2 linked regions of the Struthio camelus genome follow. The protein of the gene in region 2 purifies or fractionates together with the protein of the main gene of each other region. This does not show direct contact. Links are inferred from orthologs where the notes say so. Each region holds a gene or a part of one and is shown on either strand. Other genes may lie near its edges. The genes, in order: DNAJB11 and SDF2.

Region 1 (3,902 bases), on a different chromosome or scaffold from region 2:
CCTCCTGGAGAGGTAAAGGGAGAAGATCAAAGACCTTAACATACAGTTAGAGCTCTGACTACACAATAGCCTAAAGGAACAAAGCCTCCTTACTGTGAGAAGATGTCTCCATGGGAACTCTGGTGCCCATCCTTCAATCCCTCTTCGCCATATGCATCATATTGCTTCCTCTTCTCCTCGTCCGACAGCACCTGGGCAAAGGGACAAGACACTCATCTACAGCTGAACCAGGTTATTTAAACAAGCCTTTGAGATGAACCTTGCCAGTTCTCTTAACTGAAGGACAAGCAGCAGCATGTAGCACATTACAGAAGTGTTGGCTAGAACTTGCTTGCTGAAGTGGACTGGAAAGTTAAATATTTAGTAGCTAAAACCTAGAATTAGCTTATTGGAACAGCAAAAGCAAAACACACAAAATACAAACAGTACAGAGTTTACCATAGTGACTTGAAAAAGAATCAAACGGGGATAATAATTCGAATCAGCCCTATGAAGCAGAACACTCCACAGAAAGCTGTGTAATACTACTCTTGTTCTTCAGGCACATACAAAACGACTATTTCTTCAAAGAGTATTGTATAACTGTGAACAACGATGGCAAGTTTGCCCACCAAGCTGTACCTGCCAAATATGGTAACTCTGCGACAGCAAGAACGCTGGCCCTCGTTCCTAAAGGGGAGCAGAAGTCAGCAAGAAGTAACTTCAGTATTAAGACAGAATTAAGTACCCCAATGCAGGTACCGTTTCTCAGTATGTGGTCTTTGCTGTGCGTCCCGAGATGCGTAAGTTCCTGGATCAGATTTAGTCTTCCTTCCCTTTCCTCCCTGACTTGACCTGCTGATTATATTTTGGAAGACTAAAACTGTCAGGCCAGCTTCCAGAAAGCTGGCGAAGAGCAGAAACAAGGGAAGAAGCAACTCTGCTAGCTAAAGGGTGATGGTTTATGTAATGCATTAATACCTAAAGTTAAGAGAATATTACATTATCAAATTATCACAGAAACGAGAAAGTTCCTAACACATTTGATTCCCTACCATAACAATTATTTTCCCAACTTTAACATGCCTAGTAAAAGGCAAGCTCAAAACCTTTCATCTCACATGAGCCAAAATTTACTCACAGCCCATCTATACATATAGACAGATTGTTCCTGTGCCAGTGCTTCCAGCTGAGGCAGCTTTCTTTCGTCCTTAACATTTATGGTTTAGTGTGGGGTAAACAAAGAACTTGAACTTTCTGCCCTTGTTTTCCTCTGGTTAAGCGAGCTATGGCTTTTGTATGCTTTCCTCCAACAAAGTAAGTTCTCTCACCACACTGGCAGCTTCTCTGCCTTTGTCCTTTATTAGATGCAGCATCTGGGACTTGATACCATTTTGTAATAGGAGAAGGAGGAGGGATCGCACCAGGTACTAGCGCTTCCTAGGAAGCCCTCCTTGAAGGTGTAAGATGGGCTCAGTTCTTTCTCGTTCCTCTGAATCTTATGGAGAGGAAACCACAGCAGAGAGCCTGTTGGCCATAAGAGGCTTCACGCCTGGAGCTTGCTTCCCCGTGAACCCCACCTGTCCGGGAAGGCCCTCGGGAGGGCGTATTAAGGTTATCTCGAGCCATCTAGAGCACACGCGACTGCACCTTGCCTCTCGCCCCTCCCTTTTGCAGCAGCTACAGCAGGCCTGGGGAGCATCCCGCTGGGCAGGGCGGCGGGGGGGCACCCGGGCTCACCTCGTAGGCAGCGCCCAGGTCCTGGAACTTCTCCTGCGCCCGGGGGTCGTCGGGGTTCCTGTCGGGATGCAGCTGCAGCGCCAGTTTCCGGTAGGCCTTCTTGATGTCCTTGATGGAGGCGCCGCGGGACACCCCCAGGATCTTGTAGAAGTCCCTCCTGGTGGGGGCGGGGGGGGGGGGGAAACGGGGCAGAGCGGGGGGGACCCGTCAGCGCCGCCGCCCCAGGGCCGGTCGCCCCGGCGGGGGAGGGCGCATGCGCACAGAGCCGCGCGTGGGGGGGGGAGCGCGTGGGGGGGGGGGCGCGAGCACAGGCCCGCGTTGTGGGGGGGGGGGGCGCGCGCGGGCCCTGCGCTGAGGGGAGCGGGGAGGGCCGGGCCCGGCCCCGGCGGACTCACCCGGCGGCGGCCTCGCCGCACACGCAGAGCAGCAGCAGGCAGAGGCGGCCGAGCGAGGCGGGGGACATGGCAGCGCGGCCTGGCTGCCGGCGCGCCCGCCCGCAGCCGCTGGGAGCCGGGGGGGAAGGCGGCGCTCTCCGGCCGCGGCCCGCAGCACCGCAGCCGCCCGCTCCGCTCACCATAGATATGAAGCGGAGCCCGGCGACGGCCGCTGGCCAATAGGAGCGCGGCACAGCGCGCCCACCCCGCGCGCCGCCGGCCTATCGGCCGCGCACACTTCACCACCGGCTCGGCGCCGCCGGCCAATCGGCTGCCAAGACATCAGCGCCCGGCCGGCCGGCCCAATGGCGGCTGGCAACGTCACGCCGCCCCTGCCCTATCGCAGCTCCGGAGGGCAGAGCGTCGGCGCGGGCGGAAGTTGCCAAGCCTAGAGCGAGGCCGGCGAAGGGCCGTAACCAATCAGAGGTGGCGGCGTTCGTTCCGCCTCCGCGCCCGCTCGGCTCGCCAATGGCAGCCGGCTCCTCGGCGAAGAGGGCGGAGCGCCGCGCGCAGTCCTCCGGGCGGTGGGCGCTCTGGGCGGCGCCTCGCCTTGCCTCGCCTGACGGGGGAGGCCGCCATGGAGGCGGCTGCGGCGGCGGCGGCGGCGGGCCCGGCGCGGCTGTGGGTGAAGACGGAGCCGTTCCTGCTGGGGGCCGTGCGGGCGCCGCCGCCCGCCAAGCTGGGCCGCCACTACCTGCGCAAGATGGCGGCGTACGCTCGGGCGCGGGCCGCCGACGGCTGCTTCCCGCGCCTGGCCTGGCCGCGCTGGCGCCACATCGCCTGCGGGAAGCTGCAGCTGGGCCGCGGCCTGGCCTGGCTCTACTTCGAGCTCTTCGACAGCCTGGCCCGGCGCGACCCGCCGCGCCGCCTCCAGCGGGCCGAGGCGGAGGCGGCCTGCGCCAGCGCCGACCAGCTGGAGCGGCAGCGCAGCAAGGCAGGGGGGGTCCCCTCTCCCAGCCCCCTCCCCGGGCCGGGCCGGGCGGTCGTGGGTGACGGGCAGCGCCTCTTAACCTGTGTTTTGTTTCTCCCTCCCCCCCTCCTCCTTGGGTAGTTGTCAGTAGACACCCTGCAGTTCCTGCTGTTTTTGTACATCCAGCAACTGAACAAGGTTTCTCTGAGAACGTCCCTGATCGGCGAGGAGTGGCCCAGCCCCAGGACCAAGTCTCCCGACCTGACTGGGAAGTCTGCCAGTCAAAATAAGGTATTTGGGGGCGTGGGGGGTCTCCTGAGGTTGCTCCGTGAGAAAACGGCCGCCTCCCCTGGAGGCGGGCTGAAGAGCATCCCGTTTGTTGCTGGGAGAGCGTACCCTGCCTGAAGCATTTCTGCAAGTCAAATTTGAGCTACGTCTCAGCACGGTAAATGAGATGAAACCGATATGTTCTCTATCGCTTTAACTTATGAAACGGTGACACTTGCCTGCTGAAATTTCCTGTGGTCTGAGACTAACTGAAAATTTTTTCTGAGTCTTCCTAATTCTCCTTCTAAGCAGCAACAGCTTCTTTGGTTTTTCTGTTAGAGGGGTGTAGCCAGCCAAGCAGGAGGCTTTTCTTACGTTGAAGGCTGCTTTCCCACGATCTGCGTTAAATTATTAGAATTCCAAAGCGGTGTTTAGGAAAATGTCATTAAGTTGTATTGCAGAGAGATGGAGTGGCTGGTCAACTGTAGATCCGTCACGTGAAGATGATGATGTCCCACATCAAGTGTTCCTAAATAGGAGAAGTAAGCTGGATACGTCAGCTGCAGTTCATG
Region 2 (3,567 bases):
ACCCAGCCCCAGAGCCCCCCCAAACCGCCGTGAGCCCCTTCCCACTCCCGCCACCCCCAGCCCCAGCCCTAGGGCCCCCCCCCAGGCCCCGCTCTGAGCCCCTTCCCGGCCCCGCCGCCCCAACCCGCCGCCGCCCCGCTCAGCCCGCGGGCCCTGACCGCGCCAGCAGCCCAGCGAGCAGCGCCACGACGGCGAGGCCGAGCAGCGCGGCGGGCAGCGGCGACATGGCTGCCCCCCGCCTCGGCCCGGCCCGGCGCCGCCGCTCCCCGCCGTCCGGTAACCGGGCGCCGAGCCGCCCTGCGGGGCCGACCGCCCGCGCACCCGGAGTGGCCGCTGGGAGGCGAGGGGCGGGGCCGGGCAGGGCGGCGCGGCCGAGCGGCGCTAGCGCGGAGTGAGCGGCAGCGCCCCACGCGGTGCTCGGCGCTGCGCAGCGCCGCCGGCAGCCCGCGGCGGGCAGGGGATGCTCCGGAGCCCCGGTGCAGGCAAGGGGTGCTCCGGAACGGGCCGGGACGCTCCGGAGAGGGCAGGGGTGCTCCCCGCGCAGCCAGGGCACGCACACAAACGACCGCACAGCCCTGAAGAGTTCAATTTCTTTATGGTCCCAAACCCGCGCGGAGCCTCCCCGTACCGAGAGCGGGGAGCTACAGAGGGGTCGCGTGGTGACAACAGGCCGGCGCCAAGCTGTTGGAACGCGCGGCGTTCAGCAGGTCCTCTTCTCTCGCGTTCCCGTTCGTCTCAGCGCCTCCGCCGGGGACCAGTGACCGCCGAGCCCCGCGGCAAGGGGCAGAACCCGGCATCGCAGACAGTCACAAGTTACAAAGACCGAATAACCGAGGGGCGCTGAGCACTGCTCTGTGGCCTGTGCCCAGCCTGGACAGGGCTTGTGCCCATCCCAAGGGACATCCGGGGTTCGGCGGTCCCCGACACCACGCAGCAGAGCCCCGGAGGCTCCACCCCAGTCTGTCACAGCTCGGCGTGATACTGCTGCACCTTCAGCAGCTCGCTGGGTTGCATGAAGATGCCCTCCATGACCTTCCAGTAGTTATTCTGGCTGGGGGAGGCCATGCCGTGCACCTCCTTCTGGCCGTGGATGGGCCGCCCGTACTGCTCCCCTGTCACGGAGAGGAAGACGTCGGTGGAGGTGTGCTTGAAGCGCACCTCGCTGTCCCGCGCCCAGTAGGTCCCACTGCACACCACGGTCCAGTCGTCCAGGTAGTCGCCCTCGCCGTCCTCCCCGAAGGCGCTCACCTCCTGCAACGAGGGCAGCTGTCAGGCGGGTGGCCTTGGCCCGCGCTGCCCCCACAGGGACGGTGAAAAAACGCCCATTATTGGCATTGACTGTGTATTCGCCTAAAAATAAAAAGCACCCTGTGTAATGCTGAGCGGAGAGGTCAGCGGGGATCTCTGCAGAGGTTCAGAGCACAGGTTTGCGCCTCCCTGCCGTGGCTCGCACAGCCGGAGCACGGCGGAACCGGGGACTCGGAGACCCGGCGTGGCCCCCGTCCCCATGTTTTAGGGGATCCCCAGCCCAGCACGGGGACCCGCTGCGTGGTCACGGCAGGGGACGGCTGCTGCGGATGCCTGGGCTGCTGTCGCTCCTCCTGCCGTGTCCCTCCATGACCGCAGAGCCGGGCTGCACCCGGTGTCACGGCAGGGATTCCCCTCCTGGAGGGAAGGGGTCTGGCCCCAGGGCTCCCGGTGTCACAGCACGGATCCCCCCCCCCCCGCCCCGGTGGGGAAAGGGTCTGGCCCCAGGGCTCCCGGTATCATGGCAGGGATCCCCCCTCCCCCCGGTGGGGAAGGGGTCTAGCCCCAGGGCTCCCGGGGCCGCCCGGTGCCACGGCAGGGATCCCCCCCCACCCCGATCCCTCCGGTCCCAGACCCAGAGGGGCGCCGGTGGAGGCGGGACGCGGCCGCACCTGGGCCGCACCTGGTTGCCGGAGAGCGGCGAGGTGAAGCGGTGGCTGTGCAGGTTGCGGCCGGTGCCGACGTGCGTGAGGCGGATGGCCTGGCCGCAGCGCACCGGCGCGCCCCGCTCGCACGCCGCCGCCGTGCGGCCCCGCACCCGCCAGTAGCTGTTGCCGTCGTCCGCCGCCGACACGCCGGTCACCGACTGCTGCCCGCTGCCTGCGGAGGGGAACGGCGGGTCAGCGCCGACCGGGACCGGAACCGGAGCCAGGCTCCGCCGCGGGGGCTGCCGGGAAGGGCCAGGCCCTCCCGGTGAAGGTGGGGGAGGGGCGTTACCGGATCCGTAGCGCACGTCGTGCGAGTGGAGGCGGACGTTGTGGCGCACGTTGAGCAGCTTCACTACGGAGCCGCAGGTGACGGGCCCGGGGGCGGAGCCGCCGCGCGCCGCCGCCGCCGCCGCGCCCAGCACCAGCACCAGCGCCAGCAACCGCCGCGCCGCCCGCATCCTCGCCGCCCTGCCGCCCCGCCGCCGCCGCCGCCGGAAGCGGACGTGACGTAACGCGACGCCGCTCCGGCCGGCCGGAGGTCGCGCTCGTCTGCTCCGCCCCCCTCTGGCTGCCTCTCGGCCGCAGCGGAGGCCTCCATTTTCCCTCGGCGCCAGTGCGGGCGGCGGCGGCGGCGGGTAAGGAGGCGGCGGGGAGCCGGGGACGGGGGACGCTTGGCTGGCCTGCGGCCCCCCCTCGCCGCTCCGGTACGGGCTGGAAGGGGGCGGTTGCCGGGTTGACGGCGGGGCCTCGCCGAGGCCTCCTCCGGCCGCCCCGGGGCCTGTGGCTGGTGCCGCCTTTGGGGCGGCGGCCGGGGTGGGGGGAAGCTCCCTCGGTCGCCGGTTGTGGGGTGAAGGCAGCCGGGACCGACCTACCCCAGTTGTGGGGCGAAGGTAGAGGGGCTCCTCCCCCGGTCCTTGCTGGGGGGAGGGAGGCAACCGCCCATCCCCCCCCCCAGTTGTGGGGTAAGAGCAACCGGGACCTGTTTGGCCCCCGCTTGTAGAGTGGGGGCGGTGGATGCCCATCCCTGTCCCCGGCTGTGGGGCGAAGGCAGTGGGGATCTCCCCGTGCTCAGGCCCTGGGGACCCCCCCTTGTCCCTGCTTGTGGAGCAGGGGTGGGGGTTTCCTCTGCCCTGCTTATGGGGCAAAGGCAGTGGGGTCACCCCCCTCCTCTGGTTTCCAGTTGTGGTGAGGGTGGGGAGTCTCCTCCCTAAATCCCCCTTTGGGGGAGAGGGTGAAGGCAGCAGGAGTCTCCTTGGTTGTGGATTGGGGGTGATGAACCCCCACTCTGGTCCTTGGTTATGGAGGAAAGGCTGGGGACCCCCTGCCACACACCCCTACACTTCCCTACACATCCCACTCAGGGGGTCATGATGGTGGCTTCCCTGCTGGTGTCCAGCTGTGGGTGAAGGCAGCAGGGACCTCTCCCCGCTTCCTAGCTATGGGGTCCTGGCTGCAGGACCCGGTGCTGGGCAGCCCTGTGGGCCCCCTGAAGCCGTGCACCACGGTAAGGTGCACCCTGTGGGGCGGGAGCCCCAGCTTGAGGCTGTGCTGCCGTGGGGCGACCAGGCCCGGCATGACCATCAGAGCAGACCCTGCAGCAGTGCCCTGTGAC

The links.
Region 1: the proteins of SDF2 (region 2) and DNAJB11 purify together in Homo sapiens (affinity purification with mass spectrometry; 3 studies listed by BioGRID and IntAct, counting the BioPlex papers as one, with this or other methods). This does not show direct contact. The link is inferred for Struthio camelus from reciprocal best matches to the Homo sapiens genes SDF2 and DNAJB11.

Annotation. Positions count from the first base shown.
Region 1 is NC_090950.1:4,131,049-4,134,950, forward strand, and holds the start of DNAJB11 (dnaJ homolog subfamily B member 11), read right to left. Parts: upstream 2,412-3,902; 5' UTR 2,297-2,411; coding exon 2,115-2,296; intron 1,877-2,114; coding exon 1,720-1,876; intron 192-1,719; coding exon 94-191; intron 1-93. Other genes in the region: TBCCD1 (TBCC domain-containing protein 1), read left to right, coding at 2,731-3,087, 3,205-3,354. UniProt on the Homo sapiens protein: As a co-chaperone for HSPA5 it is required for proper folding, trafficking or degradation of proteins.
Region 2 is NC_090957.1:16,588,762-16,592,328, forward strand, and holds SDF2 (stromal cell-derived factor 2), read right to left. Parts: upstream 2,448-3,567; 5' UTR 2,414-2,447; coding exon 2,245-2,413; intron 2,128-2,244; coding exon 1,931-2,127; intron 1,252-1,930; coding exon 964-1,251; 3' UTR 577-963; downstream 1-576. Other genes in the region: BLTP2 (bridge-like lipid transfer protein family member 2), read right to left, coding at 159-226.